Cricetulus griseus: one gene and its partners. The protein of the gene in region 3 purifies or fractionates together with the protein of the main gene of each other region. This does not show direct contact. Links are inferred from orthologs where the notes say so. Each region holds a gene or a part of one and is shown on either strand. Other genes may lie near its edges.

Evidence for each region.
Region 1: the proteins of Pa2g4 (region 3) and Ncl purify together in Homo sapiens (affinity purification with mass spectrometry; 3 studies listed by BioGRID and IntAct, with this or other methods). This does not show direct contact. The link is inferred for Cricetulus griseus from reciprocal best matches to the Homo sapiens genes PA2G4 and NCL.
Region 2: the proteins of Pa2g4 (region 3) and nucleophosmin purify together in Homo sapiens (affinity purification with mass spectrometry; 4 studies listed by BioGRID and IntAct, with this or other methods). This does not show direct contact. The link is inferred for Cricetulus griseus from reciprocal best matches to the Homo sapiens genes PA2G4 and NPM1.

The regions. Positions count from the first base shown.
Region 1 is NC_048595.1:438,027,325-438,031,574, forward strand, and holds the start of Ncl (nucleolin), read right to left. Parts: upstream 2,886-4,250; 5' UTR 2,724-2,885; coding exon 2,706-2,723; intron 1,774-2,705; coding exon 1,657-1,773; intron 1-1,656. UniProt on the Homo sapiens protein: Nucleolin is the major nucleolar protein of growing eukaryotic cells. It is found associated with intranucleolar chromatin and pre-ribosomal particles. It induces chromatin decondensation by binding to histone H1.
Region 2 is NC_048600.1:48,339,262-48,342,848, forward strand, and holds part of nucleophosmin, read right to left. Parts: intron 3,273-3,587; coding exon 3,215-3,272; intron 2,994-3,214; coding exon 2,910-2,993; intron 1,814-2,909; coding exon 1,712-1,813; intron 1-1,711. UniProt on the Homo sapiens protein: Involved in diverse cellular processes such as ribosome biogenesis, centrosome duplication, protein chaperoning, histone assembly, cell proliferation, and regulation of tumor suppressors p53/TP53 and ARF.
Region 3 is NW_023276806.1:129,340,107-129,344,333, reverse strand, and holds the start of Pa2g4 (proliferation-associated protein 2G4), read right to left. Parts: upstream 2,876-4,227; 5' UTR 2,724-2,875; coding exon 2,636-2,723; intron 570-2,635; coding exon 441-569; intron 208-440; coding exon 102-207; intron 11-101; coding exon 1-10. UniProt on the Homo sapiens protein: May play a role in a ERBB3-regulated signal transduction pathway. Seems be involved in growth regulation. Acts a corepressor of the androgen receptor (AR) and is regulated by the ERBB3 ligand neuregulin-1/heregulin (HRG).

The DNA of each region.
Region 1 (4,250 bases), on a different chromosome or scaffold from region 3:
GTAAAACAAATAATAAGCACTTTCCGTATATCCAATGTTATTAACATACTGATACTAACTTTGAGCTCAACACTGGAATTAGGTATATGTTAAACCCTGGGGTGAAAGGGCTAGAGAGACGGTTCAGCAGTTAAGAGCCCTTGTTACTCTAGCAGAGGACCAACGGTCAGTTCTCAGCATCCACATGATGGCTCTAACTATAGTTCCAGGGAACCTAAGAGTTTTCTTCTAGCCTAAGTGCACCAGGCATGCTTAGTAGTACACTCATACAAATACAGATAAACACTCTAACCCTAACTCCAACACACTAAATCCTAAACCCTGGAATCAGAATACATGGCTTACAACTGCAGGTGCTTATCACACAAATACCCAAGTTTAAGAAACACTCATAAATGAAACTGGTCTCCAACTCCACCCCTACACATCAGCCTTAAGCAGAGTTATAACAAGTATGCATTTTATTTTCATTGAAAAATGTTCCACCAAAACCCAAATTTTGCTTATTACTAATATAGCTCTTCTAAACAAGAAATCTGAGCATAATGATTACATACCCCCAGCTTACCTGATTTCCAAGACTATCCCTACTTCTGCCTCCTGAAATTAATTAACCATGTCTTTAAATGAACCAACAAGTAGGAGTGCTAATAAGTACCAGATTCAGCAAACTGGTAAGTAGCAGCCTTCAATCCATATCTGATGTATTTTAAAAACTGACTTGCTCTATAAAAGCTTATATAATAGGCTAAAGCTTACTTTAGTGATAGGGATCAGCACTAAAAAACAAAACATGCATGACGGGAATAGGAGTAAAATAAATATAGTGATTCCTGAACTATTGAGACCCTGACTCCAATTCTCATCTAAATCAAAGCCCTAAGTTTCTTAACTAGCTTCATGCAATGACTAATGCCTTTATTCAGGAGAATTTTTGGCCAGACTGGTCTACATGTTGAGTTCTAAGACCACAAGGGTCATGTTGAGATCCTGATTCAAAAAACAAACAAACAAACAAAAAAAAACACCCGGGAATTTCTAGTCGTAATGTCCTTCTCACCAAACACCATGAAATCACGTGACCATGATCTGAATGAAAACAAATCAAACTGGATTAAACCCTGTTTTCCAAAAATGTAGGGAAAAATAACAGCCTACAATCAATATTCAATACAGCATGTGAAACCTGAGTGAAATTTACATCCCTCTCAAGTGGACTGTAATACTCTTATTTAACTACTCAATAGCAATAAAGAACTTGTCACTCAACTATTGTTATCATACTACTGTATTTTTTTTTTTGGTTTTTGGAGACAGGGTTTCTCTGTAGCTTTGGAGGCTGTCCTGGAACTCATTAAGTAGACCATGTGCGGCTTTGAACTCACAAAGATCCGCCTGCCTCTGCCTCCTGAATGCTGGAATCAAAGGCGTGCACCACAACCGCCCGGCTTTAGAATACTTTTATTAACACACATTCTATTTCTACATCTTTTTTTTTCTTTTTGGTTTTTGAGACAGGGTTTCTTGTGTAGCCTTGGCTGTCCCCGAACTCCCTCTGTAGACCAGGCTGGCTTTGAACTCACTAAAACTGCCTGCCTTCTACGTCCCTCTTGCTGGAATTAAAGGGAGGGCACCGCTGCCCTATTAGCTGTATACCTCTTCTCCACTGCTGTCATCTTCTTCATCTTCGGACATTTCTTCGTCTTCACTATCTTCTTCCACCTCTTTTGGAGGAGGAGCCATTTTCTTAGAATCGCCGTGGGTTTTGCCGGCCTACACAAGTGCACACAAAATCATGTCGATACCCTATTTGTAAGCCATTTTGCGTTTCGCCATTATCTTCTTTCTTAATGCCCACTGTCTATATTGTTAAAGGCCCTAAGCACAGGTGACATCATTGGCATTATTATATGTGGCAATCTTTCCTGAGAATCACCTATATAACTTGTCTTTCCCTTCCAGAGACAACTGAAGACAATCTACTAGTCATTCATTGCCCTTTGAATTTCACTCTAAATCATCTGCCGGGGCAGGGGTATCTATTTGGGTAGCCCCTTCTGGAGAGGAGCACGTCTTTCACAGAACCACTTCCGACGTCGCCACTCTGGAGGCGGGCCACGTGGAGGTACCACGCAGGCCACCACGCGCTCCCTCAGGTGTCCACCACGTGCTGGCCTGCCCGTCACGGACAGGCGCTGGGGATCGCCGGGGAACCCACCTAGCTCAGTCCCGCTGTCCCCCTCCCCGGTACCCCGCGACTCCCCGAGCCCGAGACGGGCAACACACGCAGAGCGCCAAAACCCACGTGGCGGGCCGCGCACCGGAGCACGTGCGCCAGGAGGCGGGGCCACGCCGGCGCCGGCCCACGAGTTGGGTCCCATCTCCCCTCGGCGGGCCTGTCGCCCCTTCTCCCCTCGCGGCGGCTCCGATCTCACCGCCCTACACACACACACACACACGCGCGCGCGCGCGCTCACACACACACACACCTCCCGGGACCCGCCTCGGCTCTCCCCCACCACCAAGTCAGGGGCCAAACACCGCGAGACCTCCCGCTAGTCGCGCGAGACTTTCCCCAGCATGGCGCCCTCGAACGCGCCCGGGATTGCGCGCAGGCCCTCCTCCCCTGAGCGACGCGCGCGCGCGCGCCCCTCAGAAAGCAGGCCCAGGCGTCCGTCCGCGTCGGCGCGCGCGAGGCCTCTCACCTTTGCGAGTTTCACCATGGTGGCGGGTTGCGACGACGGCGCGTGCGGCGAAGGGCGCAGCTCGGGAGAGCCTCGGGGAACCCACGCGAGCTGGGCGGCAGCGACGGGCACGGTGGACTCTGGAGCACGTACGAGCGACTGCCAGCTACAGCTAGCGTCTGAGGCAAAAGACTGAGCCTGCCCAGTAATCGCCTCTGGAAAGGCGACGACGGCGTCCTCGTGACCCCTCCTCCACCAACCAGAGCGCGCGTCCGTCCCCCTGGCCAACCGCGAGCCTTCAACCCAGGACGGCGTGGGGGCGGGGCTACGGCGTGGGGGCGGGTCCGCCGGGGGCGGGGCCTGACGGCAGCGCCCTGGGGGCGGGCCTAGCTCTACGCAAGGCGGACGTTGACTGGCTGGTGTGCGCGTCTTCTCGGCGAGCCCTAGCGGCTCGCCTTCGCCGCGCCTGCGCGGTGCAACGCGCCCGTTTGGCGCGGCTTGTGGAAGGGGCTCGGGGATGGCGGCGTGGCCCGGACGCCTCCTAGTGCTCGACTGCTACCTGGAGCTCCGGGCTCGCGTGGCCGGGGGGGTGGGGGGTGGTGGGTGGCCCGAGCATCCCCCGCGCTGCGGAAGCTGCGCCCCACCGTGGACTCCGCGGCGGCCTCAAGTGCTCGCCGCGCGTTCCCGCTGAGGAGCCGGAGAGCGCCGGAAGTTGAGGGCCTAGAGCCCACTGGGGCCAGCTCGCGGCCCTCGGCCTGCCCTCGGCAGAGCCGAGAACATCCCGGGGCTCTAGTGTTGCGCCGCGGGCCGCTGTTCTCCTGAGAGACAGCTCCCAATAAAGGCAGTTGCGTGCGTGTGTGCGCGCCTGTGTGCAGTGCTCAAACAGCTCGCTTAATGTCCAACCTCGCGCGGTAGATTTAACTCCTGATGGGGACGGTCTCGGAGAGGTGACTTCCTGGTGTGTGCTGGAGGAGTTTTTTGCCGGCCTGTGGCCACTCACGGTTTCCCTCAATGGCCTGAAGGACAGAGTTGCCGTGAGTGGATTAGACCTGTGTGTGGGACTTTGGGTTCCAGGCGTGGCATACTGGAGCCCTTCTAGGGTACCTCCTGGGCATCTAAAACCTAATTTTCTGCATAGTCAGGGTTCCGCCAACTGATGATATTGGTTGATAGATCACCTGTGGAGATTTTGTCGGGGATGTTGAGACAGGGCCTAACTATTTGCTCTTGCTGTCCTGGAGCTCACTGTGTAGACCAGGCTAGCCTCGACCTGCCTGCCTCACGCGTGTAGAGATTAATGCGTGCGCCACCACGCCTTGGCCCATCTCGGAAGATTTTAGTGCAAACAGGATGTGTTGGGTCCCACGTTTTCTATCTGAACACGGGTCTTTGGAGACAAGTAGAAATAGTTAATGCGTGATGCTTGTTACTAAGTCCTTCGCAACGCGGTGGAGGACACAGCTCCACGAAAATGCTCTATGGTCAGGGCATGAGGTGGGAACCAGTGCAGTGATGTGGAGGCTTTGTCTTTATAGAGACAGTGACAAGGGTCACACCTTGAGATGG
Region 2 (3,587 bases), on a different chromosome or scaffold from region 3:
ACTTCTCTACTTTAAAATACCAATGTCATCACTGGAGCCCAGAAAGACCTAATAGGCAGCACATTATGACCAGTCTTTCAGTTGCTAAATGTCCAACTCCCCAAAACAGCAAACTTAAACTACAGGTAATTCTACAGGCATGCAAATACAGCCAACTGGGGTGCCTACCCATATCCTGCAAATAGTTTTAGTACCCATATCCTGCAAATAGTTTTAGTACCCTCTATCACCCAAAACTAAATTCAATACCTGCTTATAATAAACTTAGTGTTTTCCAAGAACCTAAGGTACCATACCATTTACCTAGAAACCAACTGAAGTTAATAGTAACCCCTTACTAACAGCACAAATTGGACATTTTGTTCCAATTATGAATGTAGGCAATGATTCACAATCAGTAATACCTAATAATTTGTCATCAAATTCATAAGGTAACTAGTTATTGCCTAGCTACCTTAATTTAAATCAGCATAAAAATTAGATTATCACTACAAATTATCATCCCTCATGTAATACCACTTAAAATTTTAGTTTTGCACCCTGTTTTATGCATTTAGCAAGAATAAGGCTTCCAAATATGAGACTCAATTGCCTCCATCACCTAGAAAATAAGTCACTATAGTAATTTTAAAATATTGTCACATACATCCTTATTTGGTTCATTCAAAAATTTATTGAGCAACTAAGGATACAAAGGTATTAAAAACATGGTCAGAGATGAGGCATATGCACAAGTGTAGAAAGCAGTAAAGTTCTCTGCATCACAAGAGTGAAAAGAAAAATGCTTTAGGAAAACAAAAGATTGCTTCCAACGTGCAAGGGGGGGGGGAATGGATGGCCAATCAGGAAAGGGGATTGAGATTAAAATAGAAGACTTCAGTCTGGATTGTTGATGGTACTCAGTATGGGCTATATTTGTTTCTCCTTTTCCTCTTTCCCCATCTTTGGGCTTAATTTACCAGTAGTGCCCAGGACTGTTCAATGCGCCTGCAATTAAATCAAGGAGATAGGACCACATTAAAATGGGGGGGAGGGGCACCATTTTAGCAGTGTATGCAAGGGATAAAAATAAATCAGTGAGTGACAACACCAGGAAAGCTAAAAAGTTTACAGTGTAAATATGTGCTGGCACTACAGTGCTAATTTCCAATCCATTGGTGGCTTCACAAAGGAAGAAAACCTGAAACCATTTGAGGCCTATAGGACAGGAAAAAACTTGAAAAGAACAATTTTTCCTATAATTCCACATTTGTTCCAAATGTTAGAATCACAATTTAGAGAATCTTCAAGGGAAAAAAAACCACTGGATTGACTATTCCATTTTCCACACCCCAGGTCCGTATATAAATTCCAGGTCATGGACTGGGGATACTTTGGTATAGAGGGCACAGAAATAATTCAATTGCTGGGAAATGCTTAAAAAAAATGATCCTTTAAAGGTATAATCTCATGCAGCCAAAGACTTCTTTTCTAGCAGTTTAATTTTACTAAAGTCCAAACGCCCTCTGCTGGTTCTATAGCATAACCCCAGAAAAGGCAATATTCACTTATGTTAAGCTTTAAAATCAGAATACATCCTTGCACTTTATTGTAGCAAAATCATCCATCTATGCACAAGATTATGAATATACCTATTTCTATAATCTATTTTTTACCCACCCTCCATACATAGTAGGGAAAAGAGCAATCCATTATTGGTAATTTTACTCACTTTTTCTATACTTGCTTGCATTTTTGCCTTAATGTCTTCTACAGAACTAGGTCCTTTTGGGGTTTTAGGAGTTTTTTCCTGTTTTTTGAAGGACTCTTGACCCTGGAATAAGTTAATTAAGGCAATTAGAGTACAGTTCATAATTATAATTATGACTTCCCAATTATTTTTACAATCTCTTCTAGATAAAGTATGGAGACACTGCTTTACATGTAACTTTATACATTTTTCTGATTTTAAGATTGTTCCTAGCCTTTAATCTCAGCCTTTCAAAGGCTGAGGGAGGATTGTAGCTAGTCAGAAAGCCAGTCTCAGCTAGCTGACTCTCAGACAACCAAAATGATCATTCTTTTAAAACAATGATTGTCAGGAAAGATACCTCAAGGTTAACGTAAACGCACCTGATGCCAAACCTGATAAGCATCTTTTTTTAAAAAATATTTATTTATTACATGTACAGTGTTCTGCCTGCATATTGCTTGCAGGCCAGAGGAGGGCACCAGATGTCATTACAGATGGTTGTGAGCCATCATGTGGTTGCTGGGAATTGAACTCAGGACCTTTGGAAGAACAAGCAGTGCTCTTAACCACTGAGCCATCTCTCCAGCCCCATAAACATCTTTTTTTAATAGCCCTGGCTGCCCTGGAACACTTTTCAGCTTCTTCATCAATGCTTGGGATGGGGGAACCCTGACAGGCATCTTCCAACTGTGTTGTCCTGAATTCTACAAAGATTAATTGGCCTTTGTAAGCACACAAGCCATAAAAAATCCCATTATGAAATTATAAACAAAACTCAGAATTCAATAGGTCTCCAAACGAAGCAAGAACTCATACTAGAGCCCACCCCAGAACATGACACTCTTCAGATGAAAGTACTGCACTACAATGTATTATGTAGCCAGGGTTAAGTTCTTTAAATACCAAAGTTTAGGCAGGCTAGGTTTTTTTTTTTAAATTTTATTATGTATACAACATACTTCTTCCATGTATATCTGCACACCAGAAGAGGGCACCAGAACTCATAACAGATGGTTGTGAACCACCATGTGGTTGCTGGGAATTGAACTCAGGACCTCTGGTAGAGCAGCCAGTGCTCTTAACCTCTGAGCCATCTCTCCAGCCCCAGGCTAGGTTAACACAGAATTCACTTTTCTTAACTAGGTCTGTTTATCTGTTTTGTTACCTTGGTACTTACTTTTGATCTTGGTGTTGATGGTTTTAAGTCTTTTCCATTTTGGTTTGATTTTTGTGCATTTTTGGCTGGGGTATCTCGTACAGACTGCAATTAAGAGAATGCAATTAAGAGTATACCCCCTCCAGAGTAGACAAGTGTCCTAAACCATTGTAATAAACATAAAATTTCTTACCTACAAAGTTTAGTCTATTTAGTTCAAAACCAATTTTAATAGGAAATTAAATGAGCCAGTTTTCACTATCAACACTAAGAAATTCTTATCTCTTATTAACTATCTTGACACCCATGGCATGTTATATACTCACTTTCTTCACTGGAACTTTTTCTTCAGTTTCTTCATCATCAAAATCATCATCATCATCACTATAAAGGAAATAAACCAACTTAATTATTTGCTCAATTTGAAAGAAGCTACCTTCAGCCGTTCTATCACAATATTTAATAGACAAGTCAAACAAACAGCACCAGTATTTGAATGGATCAAAAAGTATTTAGATGGTAGTGGTGCACACCTTTAATCAAGGCACTTGAAGGCAGAGGCAGGTGAATCTGAGTTGAGGCCAGACTAAGTTGAGTTCCAGAGTGGCCAGGGCTCTTTAAGCCCTGCCTGGAAAAACAAAAAGGCCTAATTAAGTATCTAACAAATGTTACTCAGCCATTTAAAAAGAAAAATCAAGG
Region 3 (4,227 bases):
CCCAAGGTCACTGAAAGGCAAGGATAGAACACTTCATTAGGAACCGACCCTGCTTAAATGTGTAGGAAAATGACAAATACTCCAGAATGGCTTAACCTTACATTTTTACCAAGTCACCTTCCTTGAGTATATAGTCCTGGTCACTCTTCAAAGGGGAGAAGTGACACACACAGTTATTTACGGAAATGCTGGTAGGGAAGGCAACACCTGTAAAAAGAACCATCAACCTTACTGCCTGGCTCTGCCTTGGCAGCACCCGCTGCCTTCCTTAAACTTACTCAGTGTAGATCAGGAGAGGAAACTACACCCATCCCATTTGCTACTCCAGATTTCCAAATATGTTAATCAGAGATGGCGTGGACTTTACAATGGGGGGGGGGCGGGGCTAGATGGATACGGTCAAATGGGAGAAATTAAGAAGAGTATTCTTTCCCGTTTACCTTTCTTCATTTCCTTTTCCTTCTTGAAGATTTTCCCTGTCTCTTCCATTATCATGGCATCGCCTTTCTCACACAGGCTCAGCACTGATACACCTGAGCTGGAGGCTTCCACCAAAGATCGGAGTACCCCTGGAGACAGAATCCCATCAGGTCAGTCCTGCTTGCATTCATCATCTAATTAGATGTGAAGTTGAATTCATTTTCTAATACTCCCTAGTGTCATTGTCTTAAGGCAGGAAGTGGAAAGGAAACAAATTTTGTGTCCTGGTACAATCTATCCACTTTAATGTCTACCTTTTTTTGTTGTTGTTTATTTTGCTTTTTTGAGACACACCCCTGGCTTTCCTAGAACTATGTACACCAGGCTGGACAGGAACTCAAGAGATGGCCTGCCTGTGTCTCCCCGACAAGTGCTGGCACCAGGCACTATCACGCCCAGTCTTCCTTTCTACCTTCCTTTCCTAAAATAAAAAAGGCCAGCGCTTACTTCTCTTCTGTAAATTATTTGACACCTGGATAGACGAGAGTCTTGCACCTACCAAAGATGTTATGGCATACAGAATCATGAACGTTAGGGAACTGTGCTCAAGACACCCCATATGCACAAGCAGAGCAGAAGAAATTTATAGGCGTCAGGGACAAGGGAAGGTACACATAGAATTGCTGAGTCAAAGTTGAAGCATTGTTAAATGCTACCTTCTTCCCTTCCCTAGACACTCTAATTAGGTGTTAGTAATCACAATTTATGTAGATGCATTTCCCCATATACAAGCATATAAGACCAGGGGAATTAATCTAAGGTCTCAAAGATTCAGGAGACTCAAGGTTTACTTTGAGATCTCAAGGAAACGTGATCAGTTTCAAAATTATTATCTAAAGTCAAATTGCCTAAAGCTTCAAATAGTACGGATAGAAATTTTGTCTGATTTAAACCAATAATATCAAATACTAAAACTACCCCAGATAGGGATATTATTTTGTATCCGTCCTCTCTATGATCCATGGGGATTCAAGGCTTAATAGTGTTTTGGTTATTCTTTGGAATACAAAAAAAAAAAAAAAAAAAAAAAACAACTCGGTTTTAACTAAAGGCATCCTAAATACCTTCTTCAATTTTGTCAAGACCATTTTAAAGTCCTAATAGTTTCTATCTCTATTAAGAGGCTTTTAAAAAATGGAAAAGAGAGCCGGGTGTGGTCTGGTGGCACAGGCCTTTAATTCCAGCACTTGGGAAGAAGAGATAGACGGATCTGAGGCCAGCCTGGTCTACAAGAGTAGGACAGAAATTCCCCCCCACCCCCGGGAGGGGGTGCATGGGACGGGACGGGACTGACACGAAGAGACAACTGGAAAGAGCCCAAGTGGCAGACAACTGTTGAGAAAGAGCAAGAAATACTTATAATAACCCTAAAAAAATCAGTGTTCCTCTCCGTCCCGTCCCAGCATTATTGACAGGCTTGCCTAGCTGTGTTCTAAGCAGGACCTCAGAACACTGTCAAGCCTCTAAAAACAAATATTCAAGGCCATTTCACAGGCTGGGGCAGCAGTCATCAACCTAGTGTAGAAAACCGATTGTCTTTAAGAGTTGTGTTAGAAGCTGCAGACGTGCCCCTCAACGGTCCCTCGGGCTAGGCCAGGGGAGAAGGGGGCCCCCACCAGGGGGACCTGAAGTTGAGACTTTTCTGAAGCACGTGGTGGGGAAGCACGGTAGTAGAGGAAGTGGGGAGCCAGCGATCCGCACAGGGACCTGGCAACACGTGCCGGCCTGGCTCCTACGGGTCAGGACCCGCGACTGCCAGAGGGGCGCTTATGTCGCCAACAGCTGGGAGCAGCACCCTTTCCGAGGTAGCCTCACAGCTGCCAGTCAGTGGAAGCAGAGATCCCGACAGACCGAAGGGTGACGGGCAGAAGACGACGCGCCTTGCCTCCTTACCAACCGCCTAGGGTCGGAGCATGTCTGGGCCCCTCTCTGCGCTCCTCGCGGTCGCCGGCCCGCACCTCCACTCTCTCCAGCCCAGGCATGGCTGCTCAGTCCCCGGGGCGACACCAGATCTCCCCACCACGTCGCCCCTGGTCGTCGGCACGCGCCCCTCGGTGGCTCACTCCGCAAGACCCAGCCGCTCCAGCCCCTCGGGAGACAGCCCCAAACCTCTCCCTCTCAGCCTCGATTCCAAGACCCCCGAGGCCGCACTCACGGTTGGCGATGTCGCCCCCCATCTTATACTTGGTCACGACCAGGTCCTCGGCGATAGTTTGCTCCTGCTGCTCGTCTTCGCCCGACATCTTCCTACCACCACTACTGCAGCTTCACTTTCCCTGAGCTGCGGCCTCCGTCTCCCTTCCAGCCACAAGCTGTAGCTAGAGTCTCTTCGATCCGCGAGGAAAGCGCGAGCAAGCAAGGGAGCGGGAGGGCGGGCGCAGAGAGCGAGAAGCTGCGAGCGCGCGGGCTGAAGCGCAGGGCACGCTGGGACAATGAGTCCGGCCGGCGTCCAGCCTCCAGCCGCCCTCGTGTGCTCAGGAACTACAATTCCCAGCCTGCTCCTCGCGCCCCGCCGCCAGGCCCTGGGGCCTTGCCCTCCCAGGTCTGCGCACGCCGGAATCGCCGGGCACGCTGGGAAGGGTCTGGCTCCGGCGGGAAGGCGGAGCCGTTGGGGAGCTTGAGGGAAAGCGTGGTCTCTACGGGAAAAACCTCATTCACGGGAGCTCGGAGCCAGAACTCGTAACAGAGGGGGGCGGGCTAAGCGAGGCGGGGCGGAGCTAAGCGGAGAAGAGGGTTTAGAGGCCGCGGAACAGGGTGGAACAGGGTGGAGCAGGGTGGAGCTAGAGGACCAGGGTCACTGTTGGTACACCTAGGGCGGGCAGCTTCGGATTCCCGGGTAGGCAAGCGTGACCGGCCTGGCTGGTCCAGTCCTCCTCTGCTGGGAGAACAGGAAGGGGCCGAGCGGAGGCGGTGCTGGGAGCGAGGGACTAACTGAACAGACTTAACTAGACAGTCCGAAAGATTATTCATTTACCGTGGCCTGCTAATAAGGCCAGACTTGCTACTATACTAGAGTAAAATGGCACTATTGTTCCAGCGGTAGGTTTTGATGGGGGCATCTAAGGGAAATGTTTAGGAGGTATTTGGTCACTCCAAAGAGAATGAGTTCTGAATTATTTCAGGCTTTCAGTATTCAACCTATGTAGGAAAAAACAAACAAGATTTGGGGTTTTTCTCTTTTCCCAAGCAAGCGCTTTGGCTTTTCTTGTTTACACTTGCTACTTTGTAGCGATTCCCAGTAAAACGGGTTAATAAAAAGGAGTAGAAACAGGGTCTGGAGAAAAGGCTCAGCGTTTATAACCTGGTATTCCTGTGGAGGGAGTTCGCAGCACCATGCCAAGCAGCTTGTAATTTGGGCACTGCACTCACCATTGCCAGCCCCTACTCCCTCATATACCCATTTTTTTTGTTTGTATGCTTTTTTGCGTTTTTGTTTTTCGAGACGGTTTCCCTGTGGCTTTGGAGACTGTCCTAGAACTAGCTCTTGTTCACCAATGCCCGGCTACCCAGGTTTAAAAATAAACTCTTAAACCGAGCGTTGGTGGCACACGCCTTTAATCCCAGCACTCACGAGACAGAGGCAGGCGGATCTCTGTGAGTTCGAGGTCAGCCTGGTCTCCAAAGCTACACAGAGAAACCCTATCTCGATAAACCATAAATAAATAAATAAATAAATAAATAAATAAGATCTTAACATTTAAATAAAGCTGGAGAGATGGCTCAGAGGTTAGGAGCACTGGCTGCTCT